Drosophila melanogaster: one gene and its partners. The protein of the gene in region 1 interacts with the protein of each later gene in a pairwise test. Each region holds a gene or a part of one and is shown on either strand. Other genes may lie near its edges. The genes, in order: CG3528, Gsc and Cpr92F.

Region 1 (3,590 bases):
TTAAATTGCACTGCCTCTGCATGTGGCACTTAAATCATAATTTAGGCGTATTTAATATTTATTTGAATTTGCTTCTCCAAAAACATGGTATCTGGGCAACAGAGTGGATTTAATTGTATTCATATAATTTTTATTAAGACTGACTACTAATATTTTCAACTCATTAACCACCAATGTGTAAGCCGTAGCAAATTCTCCTTTCAGCCTTGTGTAAATTTTGGCCAAGTTGATTTGCATGAGTGGAAAGGCCAATTAAACAGACACACTGTTGGGAGAATTAACAAAGCGTCATAAGCTGACCCACACAAGCAAGTTGGCAAACAATGGCAAATGCGCAAACAGAAACATATTGGTCAAGTTGAAGGCTCAACCACGCCCCCATTCCGCCGGGCGACAGTTAATAGATTTATGCAATTGATGTTCCCTGACTGCGATAAACTCAACAAAGTGGCATAAAGCTCGGGTAATTTCCGCCGCCTGATGGACGGAGGACTCGCCGGGCGGAAGGACCTCGAAACGTCCATCAAAAACTGCGACCAGAACTGTACTGATAAGATATGAAAAGCAATTTACGTTAGCTGTCAGCGACAAATGCGCCCTCGTTTCGATTTATTTGCACATTTCATTTAACGACGATTACGTTCATTGACACTTTAAAGCCGTCGCTAATTAATGCGCCTGATTATGTGGTCGAAGAATATGACATATCCATAAATGGGCGAGAAATACGTTTTGCGGCTGACATTTTTCGAGTGCTCGCAATCGCAGGAGGCGTTCACACAGAATATTTTGTGATCGCCAACATGCTTTAGCAGCAGACTGTGGGGCCTCTTGTTCAACACCCGGAAATTGTCGCTGTTGTTGAAGGACACACGATTCTGGTGCCAGTCGAAGTAGCTGAGATGCAGATTCGATGGCCTCAGCTTCGTTCTGCCCTCGAAAATGGCCCGCCAGTCTACGCAGCTTGTAGAGTTCTCGAATCGCGACTCGCGCAGACTCTGCTCCAGGTCCAGAAAGCTGGAGATCTCTAGACCCTTCTTCGAACGCATCACCAGGTAGACGACGGTCTAAAAATTACAAAATGTACACATTTCACTACACATAAATGTAACCTTCTAACCGAAATTTGCTTTTCGAGCAGCTTCTTCTCTCGATTGGCAAACTGTTGGAGCACCTCATCTTTGTTGTTCAAGTAGTCTCCAAAAAGTTGGAGTCCTCGTAGTCCCCTTGGCTTTAGAAGCACCAACTCTTTCTCCTTCCGCTGGTAGAATTGCTCGCGGGTGAGCAGATTACCCAGGCAATTCTTACCGCAGGCATTCTGGATCAGGTTCCTCTGGATCTCTTTGTTGCCCAAATAGCGAGTGTCCTGGATGGTTATGAAGCTGTCTACATAGTCCTGGTAATGATTAAAGTTAATCAGATTCATTCCGCGCGAAACTCAAAAAACTAAAACTGAAAAGCTGCTGAATGGCAAGAAAACTGTGATTTCGTGTAAATCAAAATGTATAATATTTTGAATAAGTTCGAGCAAAATACATTACTGACAACAAACTGCCAACTTTGGCTCAAAAGGCAAAACTTTTGCTGGGCCTGAAGAAGCAGAGTTGTTCTCATATTCAATTTCGAATGAAAGTAGCTGAGCACAAAAAATATTCCTTCTAATTTTCGAAACTCGTGAAAAAGTCTTATCTTAATTGAAATTTGTTTGAGAAACTGATAGCCGGAATGGTTTGTAACAATTTGTAACAGCTTTAATTTCATGTGCGCACAAATAATTAAACATTTCCCACATAGAGTTCCCTTGGCAGAATCCGCTGCGCTGTTCGTGTGGCAAATTTAATAAATGGAAAAAGTTTCACAATGCCCAAGCCCCGACTGTGCCCTTGTCCCTTTTAGCCCAGAACTGTGAGTATTTTCAATTACACTTCCCTATGTGCCACGCCCTCTCCCGCCGCCCATCAGGGGCATTTCGCATATTAAACTAATTACTTCATCAACATTTTAAACTGCCAGCCAGCCAAAGGGAAAATTTGCATTTTCAGCCTGTGCGTATGCAGCGCTCTTTGTCCTTTTCCGCCTGATATCCCGTTGAGCGCACACTGTCGAGGATTAGCAGTCTAACAAGTGACACCTAGTGTTCCGCACATCGCCCTATGAATCCCAAGGACTTTCAGATCAGATCAGATTTACACATAAACGGTAACCAGTTGATGAACTTGCAACGAATAGTTTATAGTCAACTAAAAAATGTACCCAAGTCTATGAAATTGTACAGGATACTGTAACCTGCCTTAAAAATAAATCACTTTCAAAGTTCCTTTCGCCATTTGAGATTAATCACCAGGTAAACCAATTAAAACAATGCCAACAGCCGCTGCTAATCAGCCATAATTTATATATCAAATAGGGTGTGTAAGATGTCCTGCACTTCCTGGCAGATTTCCAGCTCGCTTTTCAATTTCCACACACAATACGCAGCTAGATTTTCCCCTTGCCTGCGTGAAGGTGTGTGTCTGTGTGAATTTACGCTATTTAGACACGCTTTCCCACTGTTTGCAGTTGTTGCTGTCGTCGCTGCAGCAATTAACATGCAGCCGCTGCCGACACTTGGAGCTCAGTGCTCCTCCACGTGCAGATCCCCCTCCATAGTTTTCCTCTGCATTTTCCCAAGCCTTCTCACAATTTCCCTTCCCTCCCCCCTCTCCATCACTTTGGGGCAACAACTGCTGTTCCGTTTTGCATGCTTTGTCACCATCTTGCCGCTTGCCGCCGTCTTGAGCGCGTAAATTGCTACTTCGTGGGCCAATCCTCCTGCTCCCCGCTGAAGTCACGACATACCCACTTCCCGCCAGTCTACTGGCAGGACCTACAGGACCGCCAGGACTGCCAGGACTCGCATTTCGCCCGCTGCGTCTTGGCCGTGGCCATTGTTTGACTTGGTCATTAGTAAATGTACTTTGTCGCAGCATAAAAAGGAGTTAAGTGCGCACTCTAAGGATTTATGTGCATTACCAAAGAATGAGGCGGCAATGCTCAATGCTGCCTCGGGAAAGTCGAGGCTGCTTTTGCCATGTGTTAAGTGCACATTTCTGATGAATGAGTCGGCTGGCTGCAACTGCATTTCAATTGCAGAAAGTGCTGAATGGACTGAGGGCTGGAATTTATAGTTGAGCAGTTGCCGTCATTATCGCACAGGGCATGCCAATCATCCACTTGAGCAGTTGCATAGATTGAAGTTATCAGAGAACTTCTAGATATGTAAATCATATTTTTTCAAGCATTCATACATTTCGAGCATGACAATGGACATGATTGCCGAAAAGCGTAGAAAAGCATACTGCTTGCATGTGCAAGTCAACCAGGAAGGGGTTTTTATAATTCCTATTTTGATTTCATTTTGCAGACCCCTAACTACGAAACTCCCAGATTTTCTGTGTAATCCCATCGCCACTCTGGAGTGCAATTTCCTTATTATAATGACGCTTGGCAGTGGTAGTAGTGCCACATGTCCGGCAAATAAATGGCTTACAGCCACGAGTCCTTTGAACTGTTGGCAAATGCTAACACAAATTATCAAGTTACCATAAATT
Region 2 (3,754 bases), 1.9 Mb from region 1:
TAATTTAATTTTTTATTTAAAATTCAATCTGCGAACTAAAACAAAAAGTGCACAGCAAGTGGGGAAAGAATTCAGGTCAGAGGTCAGAGTAGGTAGAAAAGGCAACAAAAAGTTTCATGTGAAAAAACAAGTTGAACAAATTCTGTGAGGAAAATAATAGAAAAAAGTGCGTCACATCTTTTGAGCTTAGCGAGAAGCGCACTCCCAGAGCTTCCTCCTCTTTTTCCATTCTCAACTCAATATTTCCTTTACATTTACAACATCGTCATCATCGGTTTTCCCGTCGGGAGTTGTTGGCCATGTAAGAAGTTCAGTGTAAAGGCAAATAGCGAAGCCCAGAGAAAACTGGGCGGCAGGATCCACTAAGAATCGGAGGGGAAAGAGGACCAGAAATATCCTGGTCCTGCGGTCCTTGGCCTGCTTAATTATTCAATAATTTCTAAAAGCATTTGGCCACATGCGACGTCATCAGCCGTCATCCTTTCATCCTTTTACGGCATGTGACAGGACCGCCCCTCTTCTTCCGTGCGCCCCCGTAATCAGTTGAACACATATACCCCCAACACACACTAAAACATCTGCATTTATGTAAGCCTCCCTCCCTGGACCCCTCCTCTTTGTCCATCTTAGTACACAGAGCGATTTGGGTGCCCTTTAAATACTTTCTTATTATTTAAAGATATTTCGAAACCACCCAATTTAGTAGTCAGTGTTGATTGATAATTTATCAGGAACGCCTCGTCTTCCATGATTCTCCTAGCAGAATTAAGTTTAGTTAGTATGTAAAGATGGACCTTACTTGGGAATTATTTCTCCAAGTGATCCCCATTTTTCACCCCCACATAGGTGACATTGTAAGGACTTTTCGGTTCATTTGCTTTTCCTGGCTGGATTTCCATTTGTGATTGTGGGTGTGGTTTGCAGAGTTGCATTTATCATTAGTCGTAGCTTAGCTTTTGTTTTCCTGCATTCGAGTGGACGAGGAGGGGGGGCATATCTAGGGAACGAACCCTGGCGGCCATTGGGGATTTTGCACTTGGGCATGTTTGATGTGGAAACTTTAGATTAAAATATTTTCCTATGCACACACACGAGGTGAAACAATAGCGACGAGGGTCACCAAAGTGCCGTAGATTATTGAATGAGCGCTCCCAGTCTCCCTCCAGTGTAAGCTTCATCTTTATGTACGAGTAGTAGCGTGCTTCTTTCTACATAAAACGTTCACCCCTTAACCCTTTTCAAGCTCCCAACGTCTGCAAGAATGATGATAAAGATAAAGCTCAGAAAGGGAGAAAGAGCAAGAGCAGCGCTTCTCCGTGGGCGGATTGAGCGCATAATGATGTTTATGTGTTGCCAGAAACATAAAAGCATTAATTTAGTCATTATCTTCTTAAGATACGGCGCCAGCAGAGGCAGTGGAGTATCAGAATCCCCTGAACGCGAGAAGAGAGCGTCAGGCTTTTTGCCACCCATAATTTCCATCAGCATTTTTATGCTACCCCTGCTACTCACTCTGAGTGAAAGCGAGAGAGCTTCTGTTGCCATATCCTGCGCACCCGCTTCCCTTCTCTATCGCTCCCTCGACAGCTATCTCTTTCTGTGGGGGCCGCGGGGTCTGTCAGTGATGACTTTATCTGTATAAATAACTGTCAGTGGCCAAAGAAAGTAAGTAGAGAGCGCAAAAATACAAAAAAATACATGGAAGCATTGGTGTGAATTGGGTGGAAAAGGAGGGGTCTGGTGAATGGGGCATTATCTCTGTAGCGCCATCTTTATCCTGGACCTCCTGCCAGCCTTTAACCTGGAACACTGCAAGATGGGGGCCCGACACCATCAACCACCACCAGCTAGAGCGAGAGAAAGAGATACAGAGGGAAAGCAAAAAAGGGAGGGAGGATACAGAGAGAGGGAGAGGCGTCCAAAGCCAGAGAGTATTGCCAAGCAATATGGTAGCGTTGAGGGCGTGGCTTCACCCCGATTTCATTGGCCAACGTCGAAAAATGTCCGCTAAACGAGAGAGCAGATGTGAGTTTGTATCTGGCATCTGAGAGTCTGTATCTATATCTGTCGAGGAACTGGCCTAACGACTACTCAATCGACAACTTGTCGGGCGGAACGCTCTCACAACACTTTCGCAGCTCGAGCGGACAAGAAGGGTTCCCGGTGGCAGAAAACCTGTGGAAATAATAAAATATAAAATCACGACGCGATTGCAGTGCGTGTTTCTAGTGCGGTTTAGTGAACTTGGCATCGATCAAAACACACTAATCCAGTGAAAAAAACCTAGACTTAATATTCGCAACATTGCCACCATTACTGAATTAAAAAAAATTGTAAAGCGCTTAGTGCTTCAAAAGTGCCGCTTCATTAAAAAAAAATCAGTGGGGAAGAGACTTTTTCCTACTCGAAAGCTTCATAGACTTCTTCAAGATTCTCTCCTCACTGTGGACCCCTGGAGGAGGCGGTGGAGGCACCACCACCACCACTCCCAGCACCACGCCCGACATTCCGCCCTCGAAGGCCAAGTTCAAGATCACCGTCGTGAGCACGCCCAGCCCCTCCCCGCCGCCTACGCCCCCTCCGGCTGGATCTATGCTGGCACAAATGGTAGAGACAAATTCCCCGCCGGCGGGTTACACCCTCAAAAGGTCGCCCAGCGATCTCGGCGAGCAGCAGCAGCCTCCAAGGCAGATCTCGCGATCTCCTGGCAACACGGCCGCCTATCACCTGACCACCGCCATGCTCCTGAACTCGCAGCAATGCGGCTACTTGGGCCAGCGATTGCAGTCGGTCCTCCAGCAGCAGCACGCCCAACACCAGCAGTCCCAAAGTCAAACTCCGTCCTCCGATGATGGCAGCCAGTCAGGTGTCACCATTCTGGAAGAGGAGAGAAGAGGAGGAGCCGCCGCCGCGTCTCTCTTCACTATCGACAGCATTTTGGGCTCTCGCCAACAGGGTGGAGGCACCGCTCCAAGCCAAGGCAGCCACATCAGCAGCAATGGCAACCAAAATGGACTCACCTCGAATGGCATCAGTTTGGGTCTGAAAAGAAGTGGCGCCGAGTCCCCAGCCTCGCCAAATTCAAACTCCAGTTCTAGCGCAGCCGCCAGTCCCATCCGACCGCAGAGGGTTCCTGCCATGCTGCAGCATCCTGGCCTGCATCTGGGTCACTTGGCGGCTGCAGCGGCGAGCGGTTTTGCCGCCTCTCCCTCGGATTTTTTGGGTAAGTCTATCAATCCCCCTATACTGAACGCACAAGCCCCCTCAGCTGAATTTCATTATGAAGACAACTTAAGACGAAACCAGTTCAAAGGATGGTTCTTTAGATAAAGAAATTTTAACATTTTGAAATACCTTATTTCATGCATCTAAACTCTGAAATCACCTTAAGGCAGCTCACTCATGCAGTCAGGAATCACCCATTCAGCCACTCACCCACTTTTATCCTGACATCCTCATCCTCTCCCACTCAACCGAACCACACCCATTCCGAAGCGAGTCCTGAATGGCATTATTCATAATTAGGCAATGATCCGTGAAAGATGATTCCGCATTTCCTCTCCATTTTCCTTCGATTTTGCGGTGAGAGGATTTGCATTGGGCTCTAAGTCTTAGCTTGGGCCGGAAAAACCAGGGAAATCCGGGATGCTGGGGTGGCTTTAAGATGGGCTCAGGCCTTGTGTTGATTCGAGCGTGGATCTCAGGCGCAGATTTATGCAGAATACCGCTTAAATTCATTCAAAGGCTCCCCCGC
Region 3 (3,754 bases), on another chromosome or scaffold:
CTGGCTACGCTTAGATTAGGAATGCATTTAGATAAATTGATTCTGATTGCATAATACGCGTTATTACCAGGTAATTAGTTAATTTTCACCCAGATACCGATCAGAATTCATATGCCCGACACCCGGCCAGTAGCGTTCGCATTGAGAGCCAAGACCATAATTACAGACGCCGTTCGCAAATGGAGCTGGATTGGATCGGGTCGGGTTGGAGCTGAAGCTGAAGGTGGCTGAAGGTGGGCACCTCGACAAATCCACAAATGTGTGGATTGCACTTGAGCCAGTCGAGGCATTCATTCAGGCAGTCGGCCCACAGCTGTCGACAGTGGGCCGAGCTAATAAAATGAAAACAAAAGTGGCACCGGCAAAAAATATAATTTATAATGTTGCGCATACCGCAAAAATGTCAAACACGCCCCAAACCGATCGCCCGCCCGCGCATAAAAACAACAACAACAGCACATGCGGGTTCAAAAGAGCAGTTTGAAGTTGGTTTGGTTTATTCAAATTAAATTGGTGGCAGGCAAAGGCAAACAAATTAAGTTGCCGATACGAACTCAAGAATATGGAGTGTGCCATATAGACTATAAACGAGTATATAGGCGCATATAGCCAACCGCCCTCCCGATTTCGCTTATCGAATGCAAATAATCAAAGTTAGCCAGGGTGCAAGCACTCATTATATTGCAACGGACAAGAGAGGCTCACTGCTGCACTTGCAGAAAAAATGCAATCGGATTTCGGATACGGAATCGAAATTCATTACATTAAATTATATTTATTTCTTTATGTATATATATATATTTATATGTTTAACTGAGCTATAAAAAAATAATAACATTTTGGGGAAAAAAAATCATCTCTTCTCTTTAATAACTAAGATACTCAATAATTGTTAAGAAGTTGGGATATTCAACTAAGATACATACAAAAATTAGTTACAACAGCATTTCTTTCGAAATCGTTCACTCACCTAGCATTCGACGAATATCATTTTCTCTTCTTAGGGATTATTCTTAGTTAAGGATAGCTCATTCTAAGTTAAATAATTTTGATTTTCCGAGTGCATGAGTGCATTTGGGAGTGCAACATCTAGATTAGCGGACAGCAAAGAAATGCTGCAACATGTGGCAACAGCGGTGGCCAAAAGTGAATAGAAAATCCATTTTGCTGTCTTTTGTTTTCCGCTTGCTTCTTTGGGCAGTGCTCTTGTTTCTCCTTTTTTTTTAATTTGCAAAGTTTTCGTTTCGTTTTCCGATGCAGTTCAATGATTAAAGAGGCAAACGCCCAGAAATTGGCCAGCTCACATTTCGTTATGGCCACCATTGGGGCATGTTGCAAGCGGTGGGTAAGAATTTTTTAATTTGATCGAGCGTTGCGCTTGGGGCGGGGCTCTTGGGCGTTTTTTGGAAAGGCACTGATCGATAAGATCGGCCTAATCCCGTGGCCAAATAATGAGTGCTAATTGTCCGCACCGCGGAAGTCAAAGAACTAGCACCCGAAACAACACCAAATAAAATACATTAATCGCCTAATGTTGAAGCCAGGTTGAAACCAATACCGGCAATTAAATCGCGTTGAAAGCAAGGTCATGGCAGCTGTGATTTTTTCCACAGTGACAAACGCAGCGCGGAAACGCACGAGCAACATGTTGCCAGTGCAACTGCAGGCCAGCAACATGCTGCAGCGGCACTCCACTGCAAGCGATTGATACACATTCTTCGGCTGCGATATCCACTTCGGCTCTGGCCAAACCCCGCTTCGAGCCCCGATTAAAGTGGTAATTCGATTACTCTGGAACTGGTACCACACATTGTTCTGCTCTTGCTCTCGTTGGCTTTTGTTGGCTTTTGTTGAACGCCCGATATTGCTGGTGTTGCGGTGTTTTCGCTGCTGTTACCAATGTTGCGCATGCGCCGGCGTCTCAGCCGGAGTCTCGGCTGCAGTGTCTCTGCTCCCCAATCCCCAGTCTCCGGGCTCGCTGGTCTCGGGCGGTATATATTAGGGCCGCCAGCCAGCAGTCAGCACAGTTCGTTAACAGTCCTAGTCGTGGTTCTAGGAGGTTCAACCAGCGTCCAGCGACCAGTGCCTGTGCCCGTGTGTCGTGTGTAGTTAGTTTTCCGTTCATCCGCAGTGTGTCCCCGAAACTCCTTTTCGAAGCTCAATCGTGTGATCATAGCTAAAATGAAGCCATTCGTAAGTATGCGCCATGGGATCGAAAGGATAACGCCGAGCAAGAGGATTAAAGTTATAAATAATATGAGTTGGAGTGTGTAGATTACCGTGAGGAGAAAAGGATATTTGGATTCCGTGCTTGAATTACTGAGATACATTTCTAACTTTTTCTGTTCTACAAATTAGTGATTAACGTCTCTGCATGTAATTTATTTTTCTTAAAGTTACAAAATTTTACCATAAAAGTGGGCAAAAGTTCATTTAATTGATTGATTCTATCATGAAATGCTTAAGTTCATTAAAATCGTAGTTTAATGGAACTATGTAAGTCCACAGCCAGGTTTCGCTAGTTAGAACTGCTTTTTCATTTTCGATCTTTGGGATATGTTAATCGGTATCAAGAGAGAAGTGTGGCATACCAAATCTTTAAATTGGATTTTGTCAGCCGTTCGAAAAGTAAACACTAGTTTGACAGTGACTTGCCATTAAGTTTGAATGAATTCCTGGCATTCTTTTAATCTGTCATAGCGCAATTAATTTAAAATTCAACTGACATTGCTTTTGTAAACTCAATTTATTTCGCTTAAATTCCGCTCCGAACGAAATGGCACCTGTGCATCGTTCAGTTCCATCCGAGAGTCAATTACCATGGCACGTCATGCTAAACGTACCACCCAGCAAACCATCAGCTGCCATGGAACTCCGTGCGAAATCCCGTTGATAAGCCGCTGACATGTTGCATGTCGGACAGTTTATTCAACCGTTTTTCCACCACTTTCTGCCCCACTCACCTGCTGACACATAATATCGTACATAATCGCGCCGCATGCGGTAATATCTTCGAACGAATATTGGCCGACCGACCGACTACTGACTACATATCTCGGAATCAAATCTAACGGTTGCGCTTCGCGGCTCTGAAAAGCGAAACCATTGGAAAAGCGAATCCAGAGGAGAAGCGAGTCCAGGAGAAAAGCGAAAAGATGGGCGTGTGGGGCAAGAAAAGCGAGAGGAAAACGCTGGCGCAAGAGCAAGAAAAGCGAAAAGCCTGTAATTAGGTTAGCAGAGGCGGCTTATAAGCTTCCACTGAGTGACACCTGCGATTAACGATTTTGGGCGGTGGCTACCGCACGAGTAATTATTGAGCAGTCACATAATCCCACGCCTAACACCTTCTGCACTGTGAGAAACATGTAGAAGCTATATGTTAAATAATTTGAAATATTCAAAGAGATGAAGGTACAAAAGTTCTCTAATCGGAATTCAACATAGGCAAAATCAAAAAGATTTTTAATTATTATTATATATATATTTAATATATAAAAATCAGTTCTGTAAAGCTATATTGAAATTTGTTAGTTTTTTTTATCAGCTACATCAAAATTACAAAAAATAATTTCCCATTTTTATTTAGTTTATTGCCGCAGCGTTGCTGATCTCGACGGTGTCCGCCTCTTGGCACGGAGCCGTCTCCACACAGTACCAGCACCTGGACCCGCACAGCCACACCTACTCCTACGGATACGCCGATCCCAACTCACAGAAGCACGAGACGCGAAGCCATGACGGCACCACGCACGGC

What was found.
Region 2: the proteins of CG3528 (region 1) and Gsc interact in a two-hybrid assay, tested with the Drosophila melanogaster proteins (one large-scale study listed by BioGRID).
Region 3: the proteins of CG3528 (region 1) and Cpr92F interact in a two-hybrid assay, tested with the Drosophila melanogaster proteins (one large-scale study listed by BioGRID).

The regions. Positions count from the first base shown.
Region 1 is NT_033779.5:2,516,531-2,520,120, forward strand, and holds CG3528 (uncharacterized protein), read right to left. Parts: upstream 1,508-3,590; 5' UTR 1,427-1,507; coding exon 1,121-1,426; intron 1,068-1,120; coding exon 666-1,067; 3' UTR 572-665; downstream 1-571.
Region 2 is NT_033779.5:593,057-596,810, reverse strand, and holds the start of Gsc (goosecoid), read left to right. Parts: upstream 1-2,125; 5' UTR 2,126-2,430; coding exon of another isoform or gene 2,431-2,604; coding exon 2,605-3,223; intron 3,224-3,754.
Region 3 is NT_033777.3:20,667,550-20,671,303, forward strand, and holds the start of Cpr92F (cuticular protein 92F), read left to right. Parts: upstream 1-2,021; 5' UTR 2,022-2,181; coding exon 2,182-2,193; intron 2,194-3,586; coding exon 3,587-3,754.